4 linked regions of the Saccharomyces cerevisiae S288C genome follow. The gene in region 1 interacts genetically with each later gene. Each region holds a gene or a part of one and is shown on either strand. Other genes may lie near its edges.

Region 1 (4,916 bases):
TTGTTTTAGATATATGGTTTACATCTCACAGAAAACACGTAGCCCTTGACGCGGGGAAATTAGAAAAGAAGCGATGTTTTTCACAATAATGCAATATATATCTCTATTCTTAGTAATAATAACAATATCTACTGAAGAAAAGTAATACGCCACATGAAGACTAACGACTTTATAACCTCTCGCAAGGCAGACGAGGACTGTCAGACCATTGAAAACTTGACGAACTTGTACACTAGTAGATTTCCCATATTCTTCCTCCGGTTTTTTGAAATCTTGTTTGACTTTATACTGAAAAATAGATCAAAGAAGCCATATCAGTGGCGGCTAATTAGGTAATATTTATAAAACAATTCCATTATATTCAAATTCAAAGTGATAGATTTTTGAATCACAATTTCTAATTAGAACACCTTCACCACATACTGCTAACACGAAATTTACCTAATTGTTTGTGAGGATGACGACCACATGGGTTTGATTTTTTTTACTAATCGCTTTTGTATATCAAATGCAATTTATTATTATTTTCATGTCACCAAGAAAGAATAATTCTTTGAAATGGTTGTTTATATCCTCAGAATTGGAAAATTATTTGCCAAGCGATTGTGAAACTATGTGATATGTTTTGAGATATTTCATGAACCATATAGAATATGCATAGTATATCCCAATAAAGCATTGAATTATGAATGTCGTATCTCTATAAGCTCTCACATTAATGCTTCAAAAATACTTCATAAAACATTATAATATAGTTTAATGTGATTTTTGCGTGATTCTCTCCTTCTTTTTATTAAGTGTATGGACATTTAAAGTAACAGTTAATTGAGAATACGGTTGACCTGGCATGTTGTTCGAATCAATATCCAGGCACAAGTACCAGGTGCTAAAGAAAAAGTACTCTCATATTTGCTTGATTGCTGCTTGGGCTATTTTAACTAACTACTAACAATATTTTGCTTAAAAAATGGTAAATATGAATGTTTTACAGAAAAATAAAAAATGTATATATATAAAATCTCGAGCTAGCTGAGGGTTTTGGGAGCAGTCAAAGGGATTCCTTATTTCTTCCAAAAAAAAAAAAACAACCCTTTTACTTAACATTTATCAGCTGCATTTAATTCTCGCTGTTTTATGCTTGAGGACTGACTGATACTCTCATCAGCTAGCGAATCATGTTGAGTTTTTCCCTTTCCGAATGGATCAACCACAGTAGATGCAAATTTTCTGGCAGGAACCCCTTGGTTGAAAAGTTCATTAATTTCACTGAAGGTTCTACCAGTTGTCTCAGGCAGATCGATGATGACCCAAGCTAAAGTGACTGCTGTGAAACCACCCCAGTATAGACCAGTTTTGGCACCCCAGTTCCAATCGCTCACGTTTAGCATATAGGGCGTTAATATAGCGTTAATAACGGCCATGAGATTGTAGCAAATACGGGCCAGCACTATAGTCTTAGTTCTCAACTCCGCTGATGGAATTTCAGCAACGATACAGTAAACAACTGCACCGATACCAGCATTGTAAAAGAATGATAAAGCCAGCAATAAACCACCGGCACCATTACTAGCGCTGCTTCCAGAACCAAAACCCATTCCACCAATAATAAATAAGCAGACCATTTGAAATGCAAGACCATAGGTCAGTATTGTCCATCTACCAACACGGCCAGATATTACCCAGGAGCAAAGTGTACCCGCTAACCCAAGACAGTACTGAATTAGAGAAAAAGTAAACGCCTTGTCGGTGGCCATACCTGCTCTTTCAAAAAAATATGTCGAGTAACCAAGTAAAACGGCACCGCTACTATTTTGAGCTACCCAAGTTAAACATGCAAGTCTCGTTCTTCTTCCATTAACTCCCTTGAAACAATTAAAGAATGATCCTGATTTAGATGCTAAAAGTCTTTCTTTTTCAATAGTCAATTCAATCTGCTTTAAAGTAAGATCAACTTGAATGTCCTTCTCGGCGCCTTTACCACTCAAAATTCTGCTTAAAGATTTTCTTGCCTCAGCGACCCTATCCTTTCTCACCAACCACCAGGGCGACTCAGGAGCGAAAAAGATACCGATCATTAAAGGAGCAGGCCAAATCCATTGTAAAGCAAATGGCAATTTATAGCCCAAGTCGGAGTTCCCTAAATTCTCTTGTGAGTTTTTCATAATACCAGAGGCGAAGATTTGACCAAATAACCAACAAATGTTGGAGTAACTGGTCATGTAATATCTTAATGCTAAAGGGCAAACTTCCGAAGCATAAGTAACAGCCAAACTTTGGAAACAACCCCATGGTATAGCTGAGAGAATTTGTCCCACAGCAATCATAGCTAAACTTTTACAGTAGTAGAGGATAAAGATATAAGCAGTTAACAAACCAAGTGCTGTAATCATCGTATAACGATTCCCCATAAATTCAACCATATAAGTCGTGATTTGCAAACCAATCATCTCACCACAAAGGACACACATGTTTAAACCAATCTGCCATTGGGAAGTAATTTCGTAAGAACCCTCCCCGTTCAAAGTACCGAATTTTCTCTGAAAAACTGGCAGGGCATACAGTGCGCTCAGTAGTGCGGTATCATAACCTTCCATAACCAGGGTAGTAGACACTAATATGGACCACAGGGCTGCTTTTGGATATTTTAGCAACGCCTGCTTCAAAGTCATGCTTTTTTCCTCGCTGTTAGCTTCATTTGCATCATCAGTAGCGTTCATCTCATTAATCACATTCTCGTTATCTTCGTCAGAATCTCCTAACTGGGCTGAATTGGTGGTGAACTCTAAGTGGTCTAGCTCAAAGGCACTATCCTTTTTCCCTTCTTCAAAATCTTCAGTATTGAAAACCTCCTGTTGGTTTACAATATCTCTTGAAGACTCAGAAATGTTTTTATCCTCATTTTTTGAGGCAGCCTTCTTCTTGCTTACCAATGAAATGATATTTTTCATATTATACTATTTTTTTAGTTGTTTGATGTTCTTCTATGTAGCATCAGAAAGAAACACCAACCCGAAAATTCTTCAAACAATCAATACCAAACCGCTTTATATAAAAAATTAAGATGTCGACATTCCTTATTTTTTACTGAGTTCGTTAAAGTTGGGTACACTCTTGATTACTGTAATTGTCTCTGTATGTCCCTCAAGCCCGGTACGTTGTCATTTTCTAGTACGCATCAACGGAGTGTTACATGATAGATAGACCGAGTAGAATCTATGGCTATGGGGTAATTAAAACCTTAAAGCTCCTTTCGCTGCCATAGTAATACGAATAGACCTTGGCTATAGTAAGTTGCATCTGTACCGTAGAGATTCTTGCAACTCGCTTAAACTCTCGCTTTTAGATAATATTTCTCCTTATTGCGCGCTTCGTTGAAAATTTCGCTAAACACGGGGTTTAAGTTAAAGTTTACAGGATTTATCCGGAAATTTTCGCGGACCCCACACAATTAAGAATTGGCTCGAAGAGTGATAACGCATACTTTTCTTTTCTTTTTTTAGTTCCTAGCGTACCTAACGTAGGTAACATGATTTGGATCGTGGGATGATACAAACAACGTAAGATGAATAGTTCCTTCCTCAATTCTTCTTGCAGCATCATTTTCTTGAGGCGCTCTGGGCAAGGTATAAAAAGTTCCATTAATACGTCTCTAAAAAATTAAATCATCCATCTCTTAAGCAGTTTTTTTGATAATCTCAAATGTACATCAGTCAAGCGTAACTAAATTACATAAATGACTATTTCTGATCATCCAGAAACAGAACCAAAGTGGTGGAAAGAGGCCACAATCTATCAAATTTACCCAGCAAGTTTTAAAGACTCCAATAACGATGGCTGGGGTGATTTAAAAGGTATCACTTCCAAGTTGCAGTATATTAAAGATCTTGGCGTTGATGCTATTTGGGTTTGTCCGTTTTATGACTCTCCTCAACAAGATATGGGGTATGATATATCCAACTACGAAAAGGTCTGGCCCACATATGGTACCAATGAGGACTGTTTTGAGCTAATTGACAAGACTCATAAGCTGGGTATGAAATTCATCACCGATTTGGTTATCAACCACTGTTCTACAGAACACGAATGGTTCAAAGAGAGCAGATCCTCGAAGACCAATCCGAAGCGTGACTGGTTCTTCTGGAGACCTCCTAAGGGTTATGACGCCGAAGGCAAGCCAATTCCTCCAAACAATTGGAAATCTTTCTTTGGTGGTTCAGCTTGGACTTTTGATGAAACTACAAATGAATTTTACCTCCGTTTGTTTGCGAGTCGTCAAGTTGACTTGAATTGGGAGAATGAAGACTGCAGAAGGGCAATCTTTGAAAGTGCTGTTGGATTTTGGCTGGACCATGGTGTAGATGGTTTTAGAATCGATACCGCTGGTTTGTATTCGAAACGTCCTGGTTTACCAGATTCCCCAATTTTTGACAAAACCTCGAAATTACAACATCCAAATTGGGGGTCTCACAATGGTCCTAGGATTCATGAATATCATCAAGAACTACACAGATTTATGAAAAACAGGGTGAAAGATGGTAGAGAAATAATGACAGTCGGTGAAGTTGCCCATGGAAGTGATAATGCTTTATACACCAGTGCAGCTAGATACGAAGTCAGCGAAGTTTTCTCCTTCACGCACGTTGAAGTTGGTACCTCGCCATTTTTCCGTTATAACATAGTGCCCTTCACCTTGAAACAATGGAAAGAAGCCATTGCATCGAACTTTTTGTTCATTAACGGTACTGATAGTTGGGCTACCACCTACATCGAGAATCACGATCAAGCCCGGTCAATTACGAGATTTGCTGACGATTCGCCAAAGTACCGTAAAATATCTGGTAAGCTGTTAACATTGCTAGAATGTTCATTGACAGGTACGTTGTATGTCTATCAAGGTCAGGAGATAGGCCAGATCA
Region 2 (4,869 bases), on another chromosome or scaffold:
GTAGGCAACTGAAAGGTATAAGTAGTCAAGGGGCACAAATTATATCGCTTGATGAGGATGTTTTTTGAGCGAAAAAACAACACTTAACTGCCAATACTCTGTAAAATTGTTTTCACTTTACATCAATACATTATCTACGTGATTATACATATAGTTATGCATTTGTAGCTAAGAGGGAATCAACTACTGATAGTTAGTATTCAGTGAATAACATAAAAAAGCATTAGCATACAAAGATAATACGCCTGTGCAATTTTTTGCCTATCAAATGCGCCTTTCTAGACAAGATATTTGGTTGAATATGGGTCAGCTATCTTCTATCTGTCGTTACCATATCAGTTTAAGACTACATTGTTAATATTGCTGGAATAGGATTATAAGCGGCGTTGGAATCGACCGCACAAACTACTTGGCTATTTATATATGATTCAAAATTCAGCACCTGATTTAGTAAAGGCAGAACTTTGACGATTGGTAATGTGTTAGAAAAATGTTCTGCAATGTTATATAGAATACGGCTTTCTTTATGTGAATTTTGATATATTGGTGGATTTTGTCATAATTTTTGGGATTTCGTTGTTGTTAAGGTTATAACATTAGGAATAGAGAATATGATAAAGGTTCTTCCCCAGGATACAAAAATTTACAAAAGAGATTGATACTTTTACGTAATAAGGCTACTATTTCTTTCTCCATTTTATATATTGTCACCCATTGTCCTACTATATTTTATTTCAGCTTCCCAAACATCTGATGACTGTTTTTCAATCTTTATATCATCTTTTTTACACTGTATATGATAACATATAATAATATGACTACTGGTAGACAGATGAAGGTTGATTTTGAGATATTGGTGAATTTTGAGGTAATTCTTGGGGTTTTTATTGATTAAGGCTATAATATTATGTATGCAGAATATACTAGAAGTTCTCCTCGAGGATATAGGAATCCTCGAATGGAATCGATACTTCTACATAATAATATTACGATTATTCCTCATTCCGTTTTAAATGTTTCATTATCATATTACATTATCAATCTTTGCATTTCAGCTTCCTTTAACTTCAATGGCAGTTTTTTCATAGCTTATGTCATCATCTAACATCGTATATGATAATACCAGTAGTATAACTATAGTTGATGGACGATAGTTGATTTCCATTCCAACAGATTCTTATTCCAACAACTTTAATATTATCTTCTTGATGTAGTTGCACATAATATAGAAATACTTCGTAGGGAATTAGCATCCCCTCAACTTACAAAACATTCATTGAATTTACCAGTTATAGGGCATGCGTAATGCTTTTAGATGAGATATCCAATGTATACAACTAACCGATATCCAAAAATGACATAGTATCGAGTTCCGGGTCCAATGGTCCAGTGGTTCAAGACGTCGCCTTTACACGGCGAAGATCCCGAGTTCGAACCTCGGTTGGATCAAACTCTTTATTTTTTTAAATTTGCTACTTTAGGTTCGTAGAAAGTCTCTAGGAATGAAATTATATCTTCTGCGTTCGAAAAGAGTAGCTTTAGTTGAAGAAGTTTTGATTTGAAGTGCATTAATGTCTTCCGCTATCTGTGGGAGTGAAGGCATCATTAGAGATAGATCTCAGTGATACCTAATAATACAAGAAGTAGAAATAAAAAATGTGCCCCTAAAAGTACTACCAAGGTATCCGAATTGATTCCTTACGCAGACCTCCCCTATCACAAAATTGAGATGAGGAAGTAGCCAACCTGGTCCTATAAACGTTTAAGGGCAATACGACCGAGTTTTCATTTATTCATTTATATGAATTGCTCTGTCGTGTTTCTCTCTCGGTTCCAGCAGTAAATTTAATGAATCCCCCAAACATTACGGAGCATTCATTACAGATCGGTGGCACCGTTGTATGGATGTATTGCCTTTTTGGAACAATACATCTACTTGCCGAACGTTATGTTTTAGATGGGTCCGCTTTTAATAGTTTAGGTAATTCTTATAGGATTGAAAATCTCGGTAACTAAAATCCGTTATGGCTTAAAAAAATGTAAAAAATAAAGGCCCTTTCTTCCATTCCCTGTGAAACAAAAGTTTCGATAGTGCGATAGTTTACCTTTTACGAGCTTTAACCTGGCGTTATTTTCTCCCACACTACTGTAAACATAAAACTCTCTTATGCTTTAACGAGTATGCTGAGGAATTGTTTGAGGAAATTGGGAAATCATCAAACGAAATGTTCGGTAAAAACGTTACACACCCCAATCTATAGAACAAAAAACCTTCAGGTTCTCAGAGATACGCTCTCTGGTATTAAGCTGTTGGAAAAAATAATAACTTCATCCTCCTACAATAAAACATTGATATATGAACCTAAGTATAAATCCAAGCCACAGGTCGTTAGTTCTCATGATACCATGAGACTTCACAATGTAATGCGTGAGTTACTAGATTCCCTACAAGTAGATGAAGCTACCAACACACGACTTCAATCAAACAGGCCTCGAAAGCTGGGGAGGGTTGGTCTACAATTATTCATGGATTGCATTCAGGACAACTTAACAGCAACTTCAACATCTTTGACATGCTCTTTACTGGAGCACTATTTCAAGTATCCCGAAAAAGAAGTGACCAATGGGATCAAGGCCGGATTACGATATATCAGAGATTTTCTTGCGAAGAACAAGATTATAGTGAAAAGTCAAAACGATGTTGATGCTCTGGTCGAGCAATTGACTATGTCCTCCTCAGACAGCCAAAGCATCAAAAGGGTTTTGAAAGCCATTAATTATGAATTGTTTTCGGATGACATTGTGCGGGTCATAAACGGCAACAAAACTTACGATGAGGTTGATGTATCCAAGGGTTGGAAATATCCAGCTGGTATTTTAGATAGTAATGAAGCCTATTTAAGGTCCCTGGAGTTGCCTACTAAGAAATTAGTTTCCATTGATAAAGATATGCTAGTTCTTATGTATGATGGGACGTTACGAGACGCTAATAAAATTCTACCCACGATAACGTATGCAAGAAAGTTGAGAAAATCTGTTCTCTTAATCGTTAACGGAGATTGCACAGGTGATGCATTAACATCCGTTACAATTAACAATAACAGAAACAAGAGAGAAAATAATGAAAGCCGAATAGTGGTTTTGAAGTACTCTAAAAAGGCGAACAATGACTTAGCGCCACAGGAGAATCTTGATTTTATAAAGTTCTTACGGTTGCCTTGCGGATATGACAGCATCTACTCACCAGAATATAGTCCTTTAGTGCCAAGCAAAATGTGTGCGGATAAATATTACGGCAGTATCGAATCCATAAAAGCGACCACAGGGGAGGCATTCTTATATAACTCCATTGATGCTGAAGCGATTCCAAATAAAGTTCCGAAATCCTTCCTCCAAAATACGGTCACTTTAAGCATTGGTGGACATAACGAAATCGAAATCGACAGAAGAAGAAATGCAATAGATAATTGCTTAAATAACGTCCTATGTCATGGGCTGGCCAAAGGTTTCATCCCAGGTTACGGCATCTCCCTACTGAAGGCAATTCCAGGTTTGAATGAACTGAAAGCAAATGAACCCAATTTCATGACTAAGGTAGGCATCAATGCTGTTTTATCAGCAGTTATTCTCCCATCAGAAGTGGCGTTTAAGAATGCATATGGGTACAACTATTATGAGATCAATAGCCTGATAGCAGGCGCTATAAACGAAAAATCGTTTCCAATGGCCAAGTTTTCTCCAAATTCAGAACCGGTGAACACAGTAAAGGATGGAAACTTGGAGCCATGGAGCAAAATGGATTCTTGTTTAGCCGGTGTAGAAACGTTCATTGAATTACTTACAAGCTGTAATACAATTATCACATGTGTATACAAAAAGCCTGAACGGCACAAAGCCTAGATAAAGCCCTTACATACTTTTAAATAGTCAGAATGAGTCATTGTAAATAGATATTGCCACGGCGCTGCCTTTTATCACTTTTACCTCTTCGTAAATATCTATTATTCCTGCTCAATTTCTCATATGCGGCTTCGGAAAAACTCGGGTTTTTCCACGCCTCAGCAGTAACTCCATCTACCTTTGGGGATTTGAACCATCTCATTCCAGTTTTGGATAACTGCGATTAGATTAAAATATTAAAAGATTATCGATTAGATAAGATAGAAACCAACAAAATTTGTTGTAATAGCTGTGTCCTTGTATCCTTAAAAGAAAACAGGGTTGAAGGCATATGTATTCACATCTTTCTAACTTGTTAACGTCTATGCTAGGACCGAAGTCAGAAAGCGATAAACATGCAAGCCCAAGGTTCACAATCGAATGTAGGGTCTTTGAGGAGTAATTGCTCTGACAATTCACTACCGAACAATCATGTTATGATGCACTGCGATGAAAGCAGCGGCAGCCCGCACAGCGAGCACAACGATTATAGTTACGAAAAGACCAATCTGGAAAGTACGGCATCAAATAGTCGTGAACACAGAGACAACCAGCTAAGTAGGTTGAAGAGTGAGGAATACGTTGTTCCAAAGAATCAACGTAGGGGACTATTGCCTCAACTCGCCATTATACCGGAGTTCAAGGATGCCAGAGATTATCCACCGATGATGAAAAAGATGATTGTCTTCTTGATTGCGTTTTCCTCCATGATGGGCCCCATGGGCACATCTATCATTTTTCCAGCGATCAACTCAATCACAACAGAATTTAAAACATCAGTGATTATGGTAAACGTTTCAATTGGTGTGTACCTTTTAAGTCTTGGTGTTTTCCCATTGTGGTGGTCTTCTCTATCCGAGCTAGAGGGCAGAAGAACTACTTACATAACTTCATTTGCATTATTGTTTGCATTTAATATCGGGTCTGCTC
Region 3 (4,720 bases), on another chromosome or scaffold:
GGCTTATGGAACAACGCAAAAACAATTTTCGGTCATTATATCAAAGTTTATGGCTATGAAACAACAATATGTGTGGCTGCATGTTTAGCCAATGACGCCTTTTTTATAACCCTGCCAAATCCCAACTTCAAGGCAGCTTAATACCTCCAATACATCTTTTGGGAGGTTGATTCAAACATTCACAGCAGAGTAGCTTATACGCTTATCAACTCATCTTTCCTCTGATTAAAAAGAGACTCTGGCTTGCTTTGTAATATTATTTATTTTGGCTCAAAGTTTTTACTTAATTTCCTCCATTATTGCTCTATTCGGAAATTTTTAATAACTCTCAAATGCTTAAAGATCGCCCATGTTACTTGAGTTTTTAATTTAAATAGTTCACCTTACTTGAATGTTCTATTGGGTAAAATAGAATGATTTGAAGATGGCAAATACTAAAAATATCATAGCGCTTCATCTTGATTACCATTATTCCGGTGCTTTTATGATATTGCGTATCAACTTCATTTAAAGAAAAACCTCATTTCAGCTGAAAGTAAAAGTATTGAGTACTCTACTGGCAGTAGCTGGATAATTGAAAACTTACGAAGTGCCGCCACAACAGCTTTTTTTTTATTTTCGACAGTAAACCAAAAGAATAGAAACGCCTATAGTTAGTATATATGTGTTTGTATATTTCTTAATACTTATTAAACTCATCTAACCCACGTTGGTAGCCTTGATCCCATTCCCACATAAATTCGCTATCTTTTTTGGCAGAAACGTATTCAGCTCTTCTTTGCGACTTCCATGAATGCCATCTACCAATTAATGAATTGTCAAATTTCCTAAAGGCAATTATATCATCAACAGCTGTCTTTATGCCATCCTCAAACCTCCAGTGTTCAAAATTTTTACCTTTACCGTTCCAATAAGCCTCGTGTTCATGGATTATTGAATCTATTTTCTTCTTGTCGACTTGTAAGTCATCACCGTGAGGACGTTTTGGTAAATTTCCTTTCTGCATCATGGGAGCTAAGCCCCATTCACCTCCATCACCGTATTCAAACTGCAAAGTCCAAAAAAACCAACCCCAACTAGCTACATGAGAAAATACATCTGCTTGGGTTTGTACGTATTTTTGAACAATAGCGTCTCTGTCGCCAGAAGTTTTATTCCAAGTTTGTCCATCAAGAACACCAGAAAATTCACCAACAGTATAATCGGCATCTTCATGAGGAAAATTCACAGTATTTGGCAAATCCTTGATAATGGAATTGGCATCCTTCGACTTATCAGAATCAGAAAAACAGCGGTAGACATGAGAATCAATGACCACTATTTCACTAAAATGTTTTTCTTTAACCCAGTCTGCCCATTGTTGGGGCCACCAACCATCGGATATTATGACAGGTAAACCTGGTTGAAGTTTTTCAACGGTATTAATGGCTTCTGAATAATAGAATTTTTGGCCCTTTGGGTTATTATCAAAACATGCCTCATTAACCACTTGAATACCAATGATGTTTTCGTTGCCCAGAGTCATTGTGTTAATAATTGCAGGTAAAATATCTTTGTAGACTTTGGTCATGTACTTTTCCTTGTGGAAAAACGCAGCTTCACCACTCTTCGAGCCACTGTGTGAGTCGCAATTAGCGCCTCCTGGTAGACCATGCAAATCTATCAATACACCAATGCTCATTTTCTTGGCATTATTGATTAATTCGCCAAGTTTTTCCCAAGGTTTGGCTAACTCATAAACTTTTCTCAATGGGGCAAATGGAAGCGAATCTAAATGCTTCCCATCTTCGACATGCCAATATCCAATTGGAATACGTAACGCTGTAATATGGGCATCTTTAGATAGCCATTCCCAGTCAATTCGATCAATGTACTTTTTATAGTGATCGCTTAACATTTTCGCAACGTCTTCAGAAGAATGCTTCTTCAATTGTTGGGAAATAGCATCAAATTCGCTATCATATTCTTTCCCATCGATTGTACAAATGGTTTCTTTAGAAAAAATCCATGGTTCGAGCACAAATAACGCACCCAAGTTTACACCATAATTGTAACGGTACTTGTAGATAGTTGATCTATCAAGGTCCTTTGCAGGGGGTAGTTTCGGTAGTGTTGTAGATAAATTTTGACCTCCCTTTTCAGAAACTTTGAAATGCTCAAATTTGTTTCTAAGTGAGCCAATCATTCTGTGCAGTTCAAAAGTTTTAATAAATTTTATAGATGGATAGAGAGTCTTTTTTAAAGCAACTCTTCCCAACAGAGTTCGAATTGAAGAAAAGAAAGTTATGTCTTAGTTCATCCATCCCCCCTAATTCCCTTCTTTTAAGCATTTTTTAAGCCATGATGGCAGAGAAAATGTATATTAAAAAAATATTACTGAAGGATGCGAGGTTCGAACTCGCGCGGACAACCGTCCAACAGATCTTAAGTCTGCCGCCTTAGACCACTCGGCCAACCCTCCGTATAAATGAATAGTTATTTTCAATAACCACACTTATATTAATTGTATTAATTGCAGCACTCTTTCTTTAGTAGCTCCTCCGGAGACCTTTATGAAATGATGGCGTTTCTTCTTTTAATAAATAATGTAACGAAAGTATTTTTAAAAGTCTTCTTTACCGTTGATAGAACCTTGGGCTAATTTAACCAGTACATTTATAGTGTGTCAGATTGTTCTATTAAGCAAAAAAAAACGAAAAATTTCAGAAAATATACGGGTGAGTTGACATAAAGAGTTTAACAGCAAGAAAACGTCACATTTTATGGAGAGGCCATCTTTTTTGGATCAAGAACCACCTGCAGGTTACGTACCAGGTATTGGTCGTGGAGCCACTGGATTTTCAACAAAAGAAAAGCAAGTGGTTAGTAATGATGACAAAGGAAGAAGAATACCGAAAAGGTACCGTGAAAATTTGAACAACCATCTTCAAAGCCAACCGAAAGATGATGAAGATGATGAAGCTGCAAATGTATTCAAAACGCTTGAATTGAAATTAGCACAAAAGAAAAAGAAAAGAGCTAATGAAAAGGATGATGACAATTCAGTTGATTCTTCAAACGTGAAACGGCAATTTGCCGATTTGAAAGAATCATTAGCTGCTGTAACGGAGAGTGAGTGGATGGATATTCCGGATGCCACAGATTTTACAAGAAGAAACAAGAGAAATAGAATTCAAGAGCAATTAAACAGAAAAACTTATGCTGCACCGGATTCGCTAATACCTGGGAATGTTGATTTAAATAAATTAACGGAAGAACGAGAAAAATTATTGCAATCTCAAATAGATGAGAATCTTGCACAATTAACGAAGAATGCAAGTAACCCTATACAGGTTAATAAACCGAACGCTGCTACCGATGCCCTAAGTTACTTAAAGGACTTAGAAAACGATAGAGTAAATTCTCTCTCAGACGCAACGTTAGAAGATTTACAGAAAATGCGCACAATTTTAAAGTCATACAGAAAGGCCGATCCAACAAATCCACAGGGTTGGATAGCTTCTGCCAGATTAGAAGAAAAGGCAAGAAAATTTTCAGTAGCAAAAAAAATAATAGAAAATGGTTGCCAAGAGTGCCCTCGAAGCTCCGATATTTGGCTAGAAAACATTAGACTACACGAATCTGATGTTCACTACTGTAAAACATTAGTGGCAACGGCAATAAATTTTAATCCAACGTCTCCGCTTCTTTGGTTCAAAGCTATTGATTTGGAAAGCACAACGGTTAACAAATATAGAGTAGTGAGAAAAGCACTGCAAGAGATTCCTCGAGATGAGGGCCTATGGAAGCTAGCTGTCAGTTTTGAAGCTGACAAAGCGCAAGTTATAAAAATGTTAGAGAAAGCCACACAATTTATTCCACAAAGTATGGATCTCTTGACTGCATATACTAATTTGCAAAGCTATCATAATGCTAAAATGACTTTGAATTCCTTCAGAAAAATCCTTCCGCAAGAACCGGAAATTTGGATTATCTCTACACTCTTGGAAGAACGAAATAACCCAGATATACCTGTAGATAAACTAGTTAGTTTGCTCAAGGAGGGTTTATTGGAACTCTCTAAAAATGGGTACAAAGCGACCTTGTCAGCATGGTTGAAACGTGCAGAGGCTCTAAATGATGCGCCCAATTCAAATTTAACCTGTCAAGCCATCGTTTACGCTATATTAGAATGGTTAAGAGAAAGTGGCGAGTATGAGTCTGAGTTGAATAATGTTGATCAGATATTAGAAAAAATGCCACACTCAAAGGTACAAATTGCTGTCTTAAAAAAGCTTATTCAGTGGGATCCTTGTGATACAGTTCTTTGGTCTAGACTGAAAATGGCCACTGAAAGCTACCATAAAATTGAAGAGTTATTAGCATTTTTCCAGGAGCTGCTATTTCAGACCAAGAATAGTGATGATATACGAGCAAATATGAGGGAGAAAAGCCCTGGCTTGTTAATGATGTATGTAAGCGAATATTGGAAGGCCCAAAAAGGGGATACTAGGCAAACACTAGTTTTGATTGACCAGATTATAGATTTCGCCCCGCATAATTTGGATTTACGCTTTTTCAAGATAAAGTTATTAGGTCGTTCACTACAACTTGATGAATTACGAGATTTTTTTCAGCAAACTTTCTCCTCTTTAGAGGATTTTAAGATCAGTGGCACGGAAAGATTATATTATAAATACGTAAACTTTCTGCGGTACCAAGATCTGAATGAAGAGGCTAT
Region 4 (6,628 bases), on another chromosome or scaffold:
AATAATCACATTGTAGCGCTAGTTAGCAATTTACTCATTGTCACATTTTTTGCAGTATATATTCATGGCATGAAATAATATAAAATGGCGCCGGTCTATATACCTATGCATCTTAATCTATATATATATATAAAACAGAAACCTACGGTAACAGAGCTGTTTCATGTTTTTTGCTTTTTCTCAACGGTGGACGAAGTATCTTCTCCATTCAACTTCCTTTTTAATTTCTGAATCAGTGTTGATGGATTTTGACAATAATAGTTTTTTGCCGCAATTTTCTTGGCCTCTTCAGTACTCGGAGGTTTACAATCTTCAATAATACTTTTACACTCGCGTATTATGGTTAGTAACTTCGCGGAGTCTATCGAATATTCTTCGCTCTCTGTGGACTTCTCTTTGTTTTTCTCAGTTGTACTGGCATCATTTTGTGGTTCTTCTTTTTCGTTTCCCGGTACTGATTCCTGGCTACCTTCTCTGCTGGGAAATTTTGTTTCTAAATACCTTGTGACCAAGGCTTCATCCTCAATCAATAATGTTGCTAGTGTTATTTGGGGTGGAGTGTAGAAATATACGACATCGGTTAATAATGCGGCAGTTATTCTCTTCTTACACCTATCGTATATTTGGCCCATGTAATTTAAATCAACCTTACCATAAAGGACGTTCTGGATATCTAAGAAAAACCCATGAAGCGGTTTGTAAGGATGATGGTTCAACAGTGAAAATTTCAATGATTCTAACAACTTAAACTCGAATTTGAGAACACTATCTCTAGTAGATTTGGCCTTTTGAGCAAACGAGTCCACGCTAATAAAATAGTTCTCCGATTTGCAGGCTAGAAAGATAGTAGTATGTACAATACTTTTAGGATCTATTTGCATAACAGAATTTTCTAAGAAAAAACGCCTAAAAAAGGATATCGCAGTGGCCACTACTTCGGTTGGCAAATTTAGATGCTGTGCTATTACCTGAACTTTTTTTGCGTAGAAATTCACCAAATCGAGTTCTTCTTCCATTGTCAAAGGGATAGCCTTTGCTTCTAGTACTTTTATTTCTTCTTCTGTTAAATTGTGTGCTTCTCTAAATTTTAATAAATTTTCCTCAATGTAAGCAATCGCTCGGGCATTGGTATCTACCCTTTTCTCCTGAAGTTGATCTTTAGTGTATGACCACATTCTATACTGAGAAGAGTGCCTATATAAATCATCGTCAGAAATTCTTTTGTAGTTCGGTGGCTTGTTATTCTCATCAGCCGATTTTAATTTTGCCTCTTTTTCTTTTGCTGACATGGTAGCAGAAGGAGTATCTAATGTACTCTTTCCATTTAGTTGAATATCCGTCATTCTATCAATATCTGTGCAGCACAGTATTTTCCTCTCTTAAACTTAATATTCACTCATTTGTTTGAGATCTTTCTTAATATAAAAACTGTGTTAAGATCAAATTTATTACCCGGATTGTGAACGGCTTAAACAACGAAGGGATACCGCAGGAAATGAGAGGCCCTTTCTTCTCTGGATGGCAAACAGTTCGTGCTATCAAAGTCTGTACCAAGGTTATTTCACTCTTCAAGCCAGCAATAACTACTTTCTTTCAGGTCACCTCTCAGCCGTCACGTCTCTAGCTGAAGCTTTGTTATTCTCGCTTCACTAAAAACAAGTGTATCTACAATATTTACCAGTCTATTCGTATATCCCTTATCATTCTTTTTCAATAAGGGCAAATACTTCGGAAAAAGAAAGGAACATTCATCTTGATTCTAGCCGTAAAGCTATCACGTTCACTCTAAGCAAGCGGAAAGTTGAGCAAAATCAACGAACAATCTGAGTCAGCAAGGCAGTACAAGCATCTCTTCTTTGCCCCTCAAAATTTATTTCCTTTTTGGTATAGTCTTACTTCCAAGTCCAAGCAAGCACTACGTATCACGACAAACCAACAGCCGCGCCGTTTTTATATTCGGAAAGAGAATTCTTGTCGTTATTGAATAATAATAACAAAATTTCTCCACTTTTCACCATATTACCACTCCCTTTTTTTCAAGTAAAAAAAAAAAAAAAAAGAATCTTATTGCTCCTTAAAAAAGGATTCATCAGTCCTTTATGAGAGCCTGCTAGTATCACCTAATATTGCATCTGTTTTTACCGAAATTTCCTCATTCCAATAATGAAAAGAATAAGATCGCTTTGGTTCAATGCGGAGGCTTCTTATTCAAACCTTAACAATTCTCCTAGTTTGAGGAACAAAAATAGTACCGGTAATAACTCTCGCTCTAAAAATTATCGTTCTTTCTCAAGGTTTGACTTGATCAACTCTATACTTTTACTGATGATGCTATTTTTATTAGCTATCTTCGTCACTGCATTATATTTAACAAAGAGTTCCAGGCTTACATACTCACATGCCTCGAGGGCTGCCCTATTTAACCCTCTGGGTGTGATATCGCCGTCATTGGGAAATCATACGTTGAACTACGATCCAGAAGCAAGGGAATCTTCTAAAAAACTTTATGAACTCCTTTCTGATTTCAACACGGCATATTATGATGATGAGAACATGATTTTGGGAAGTAACTTGTTCTCAAAGAATACATACTCGAGACAACCATATGTTGCTAACGGTTATATAGGTAGTCGTATTCCCAATATTGGGTTCGGCTATGCCTTAGACACCCTGAATTTTTACACAGACGCACCAGGCGCTTTGAATAACGGTTGGCCCTTAAGAAATCATAGATTTGCCGGTGCGTTTGTATCGGACTTTTATTGTCTACAACCAAAACTAAATTCAACAAACTTCCCAGAATTGGATGATGTAGGATATTCCACTGTCATTTCATCTATTCCACAATGGACCAATCTACAGTTCTCATTAGTGAATGATTCTAAGTGGTTCAATCCACAAAATGTTACGTTGGATGACGTAACTAATTATAGCCAAAACTTATCAATGAAGGATGGTATCGTAACTACGGAGTTAGATTGGCTAAACAGTCAAATACATGTTAAAAGTGAAATCTGGGCACATCGGCACATTCATCCACTGGGAGTGGTTTCTTTGGAAATTTCCCTGAATACGGACCATTTACCTTCGGATTTTGATTCATTAGATGTTAATATATGGGATATACTTGATTTCAACACATCACATAGGACTGTTCTACATAGCACGGGAACAGACGAAAAAAATAATGCGGTTTTCATGATTGTTCAGCCAGATAACGTTCCATCTTCTAATTGCGCTATTTACTCAACGTGTACTGTAAAGTATGAAAATTCCACCAATCCAATAAATTCTAGTGAATCTTTTGAAGAAAAAGATGTTTCTTCTAATATTTATAATGTTATTTTGACAGAGGACCAACCCAAGATAATCGTTCATAAGTATGTTGGTATTATGTCTACTGAGTTCAATAAGAACAAAGAACAACAAGACAATACTAATATTGGTTTGGCCAAAATGATAGCTCTAAACAGTAAAGGCAATTACGAGAAGCTTCTGTCAAGTCACAAACGTGCGTGGTATGACCTTTACAACGACGCCTTCATTGAAATTCCTTCTGACAGTCTTTTAGAAATGACAGCAAGATCGTCCCTATTCCATTTACTAGCAAATACAAGAGATTACAATGTCTCGAGCGATAGGGGTCTTCCCGTGGGAGTTTCTGGTTTGTCATCAGATTCCTATGGTGGTATGGTGTTCTGGGACGCAGATATATGGATGGAACCTGCCCTATTGCCTTTCTTCCCAAATGTGGCTCAAAATATGAATAATTACAGAAATGCTACACATTCGCAGGCAAAGTTAAATGCAGAGAAATATGGATACCCCGGAGCAATATACCCCTGGACATCTGGTAAGTACGCTAATTGTACTTCTACGGGACCTTGTGTCGATTACGAATACCATATTAACGTTGATGTCGCTATGGCCTCCTTTTCCATATACTTGAATGGACACGAAGGGATTGATGACGAGTATCTGAGATATACTACATGGCCAATTATCAAAAACGCAGCCCAATTTTTTACTGCTTATGTTAAGTACAATTCTTCCCTAGGATTGTATGAAACATATAATTTGACAGATCCCGACGAGTTTGCTAATCACATCAATAACGGGGCTTTCACGAATGCTGGCATTAAAACACTTCTAAAGTGGGCAACAGACATTGGCAATCATCTCGGCGAGGTCGTTGACCCCAAATGGAGTGAAATTTCCAAAGATATTTATATCCCTAGATCCTCATCTAACATCACTTTGGAATATTCTGGTATGAATAGCTCAGTGGAGATTAAACAGGCGGATGTGACTTTAATGGTTTACCCACTTGGATATATCAATGATGAATCCATATTGAACAATGCAATTAAAGATCTTTATTATTATTCAGAAAGACAGTCTGCGTCTGGGCCTGCAATGACATATCCGGTTTTTGTGGCCGCAGCTGCTGGTCTGCTGAATCACGGCTCTTCTTCTCAAAGTTACTTATATAAATCGGTTCTTCCATACTTACGGGCTCCTTTCGCTCAATTTAGTGAGCAATCAGACGACAACTTTTTAACAAACGGATTAACCCAGCCAGCATTCCCCTTTTTAACAGCTAACGGTGGATTTCTACAGAGCATTCTGTTTGGGTTAACAGGAATCCGATATTCTTATGAGGTTGATCCAGATACTAAAAAAATTAACCGTTTGTTAAGGTTCAATCCAATAGAACTACCGTTGCTCCCTGGTGGTATCGCTATTAGAAACTTCAAATATATGAACCAAGTTTTAGATATAATAATTGACGACCACAATGGTACGATTGTTCATAAATCAGGAGATGTTCCTATTCATATAAAGATACCAAACAGATCTCTAATACATGACCAGGATATCAACTTCTATAATGGTTCCGAAAACGAAAGAAAACCAAATCTAGAGCGTAGAGACGTCGACCGTGTTGGTGATCCAATGAGGATGGATAGGTATGGTACCTATTATCTTTTAAAACCGAAACAAGAGCTTACAGTCCAACTGTTCAAGCCTGGCTTAAACGCAAGAAACAACATAGCGGAAAATAAGCAAATAACAAACTTGACGGCCGGCGTTCCTGGTGACGTTGCATTCTCTGCTCTAGATGGGAATAATTACACGCATTGGCAACCCTTAGACAAAATTCACCGTGCGAAGCTATTGATTGATTTAGGTGAATACAACGAGAAAGAGATTACCAAGGGAATGATTCTTTGGGGGCAGAGGCCCGCAAAAAACATTTCCATATCTATTTTGCCTCATTCTGAAAAAGTCGAAAATTTATTTGCGAACGTGACAGAAATTATGCAAAATTCGGGAAATGATCAACTTCTTAATGAAACCATTGGTCAGCTTTTAGATAATGCCGGAATTCCTGTCGAGAACGTTATTGATTTTGATGGCATAGAACAAGAGGATGATGAATCTTTGGATGATGTGCAAGCCTTATTGCACTGGAAGAAGGAAGACTTAGCCAAGCTAATTGAACAAATACCCAGACTTAACTTTCTAAAAAGAAAATTTGTGAAAATTCTGGATAACGTGCCAGTGAGCCCAAGTGAGCCATACTACGAAGCAAGTCGCAACCAGTCGTTAATCGAGATATTACCCAGTAATAGAACGACTTTCACTATTGATTATGATAAATTGCAGGTGGGTGATAAAGGGAACACAGATTGGAGGAAAACAAGATACATAGTTGTGGCAGTACAAGGAGTGTATGATGATTATGATGATGATAACAAAGGAGCTACAATCAAGGAAATTGTTCTCAATGATTAAATGAAATGATGCATATAAGTAGCGCTTTTTTTAATATTATAAGTTTGGATAAAAGTTACCAATTTTTTCGTAGGATATATATTTTAAAGGCACTATATTGAAAATATCATGCATGCTTATATAAAAGCTTTTTTTTTTCTATAGGGTGACATTTAGGAGCAATAATTTTTACTACAAGCTTTTTTTGCACCTTATATAGTAGTGACCTTGAAATTGGTCTTTTGCACCAGCGTACTTTAATTCCACTAAGTACTGTTTAGCAGCCTGTTTTCCAGAGCCCACAACAGTTTTCTATAAAATTTTCACATGCATTATATAGACATGATCTACCTACCAATTTGATCTTCCTGCCATTGAGATCAGTTCTTTCATTACATTGATTGCACATTTTTAATTGGCGCCTTTTCTAATTTTTTGTATGAGTCCATATTAAAAAAATAGACTTCAAATTCCTACTAGACGATTCTGATTCCATCGGGATTACCACCAGATTTGATATTGGCTCTTCTCTCGTCAGTAGGGTTTGAACAGAAATATTCCTAAATTTCTCGCAACTTAAATTAAATTTGCAACGATAATGTTTGCATACATTTTTATATTCTAGATTCAATACATTAGAGGTAACTTGATGTAGCGCCAATCTGAAAATACAGAAGCCTACTAGGCAAATATTTAAAGCTCTATATACTATTCACGAAAGAAAAACGTACTTTGTATAAATTGAAGAAAATGAGTTTGTGTTAGTTGGGTCCTGCCATTTGGTATCCTGAAGGTTTTCTCAAGGTGGGGTGGGCTAATCTACAGGAATAGTTTATAGTAATTGTGTGTT

Evidence for each region.
Region 2: mutations in MAL11 (region 1) and TCM62 together harm fitness more than expected from each alone (negative genetic interaction), as found in Saccharomyces cerevisiae (2 studies listed by BioGRID).
Region 3: mutations in MAL11 (region 1) and MRX18 together harm fitness more than expected from each alone (negative genetic interaction), as found in Saccharomyces cerevisiae (2 studies listed by BioGRID).
Region 4: of MAL11 (region 1) and ATH1, a mutation in one rescues a mutant of the other (synthetic rescue), as found in Saccharomyces cerevisiae (one study listed by BioGRID).

Annotation. Positions count from the first base shown.
Region 1 is NC_001139.9:1,072,866-1,077,781, forward strand, and holds MAL11 (alpha-glucoside permease), read right to left. Parts: upstream 2,949-4,916; coding exon 1,098-2,948; downstream 1-1,097. Other genes in the region: alpha-glucosidase MAL12, read left to right, coding at 3,734-4,916. UniProt on the Saccharomyces cerevisiae protein: High-affinity uptake of alpha-glucosides such as maltose, turanose, isomaltose, alpha-methylglucoside, maltotriose, palatinose, trehalose, melezitose and glucose. Acts with the concomitant transport of protons into the cell (symport system).
Region 2 is NC_001134.8:323,372-328,240, reverse strand, and holds TCM62 (Tcm62p), read left to right. Parts: upstream 1-2,181; coding exon 2,182-3,900; downstream 3,901-4,869. Other genes in the region: protein phosphatase regulator GIP1, read left to right, coding at 1-68; QDR3 (Qdr3p), read left to right, coding at 4,296-4,869. UniProt on the Saccharomyces cerevisiae protein: Chaperone. Required for the assembly of succinate dehydrogenase subunits. Ensures mitochondrial gene expression at elevated temperatures and prevents heat-aggregation of the ribosomal subunit VAR1.
Region 3 is NC_001134.8:345,344-350,063, reverse strand, and holds MRX18 (17-beta-hydroxysteroid dehydrogenase-like protein), read right to left. Parts: upstream 2,186-4,720; coding exon 680-2,185; downstream 1-679. Other genes in the region: U4/U6-U5 snRNP complex subunit PRP6, read left to right, coding at 2,763-4,720.
Region 4 is NC_001148.4:613,216-619,843, forward strand, and holds ATH1 (alpha,alpha-trehalase ATH1), read left to right. Parts: upstream 1-2,163; coding exon 2,164-5,799; downstream 5,800-6,628. Other genes in the region: TFIIH complex kinase subunit CCL1, read right to left, coding at 162-1,343.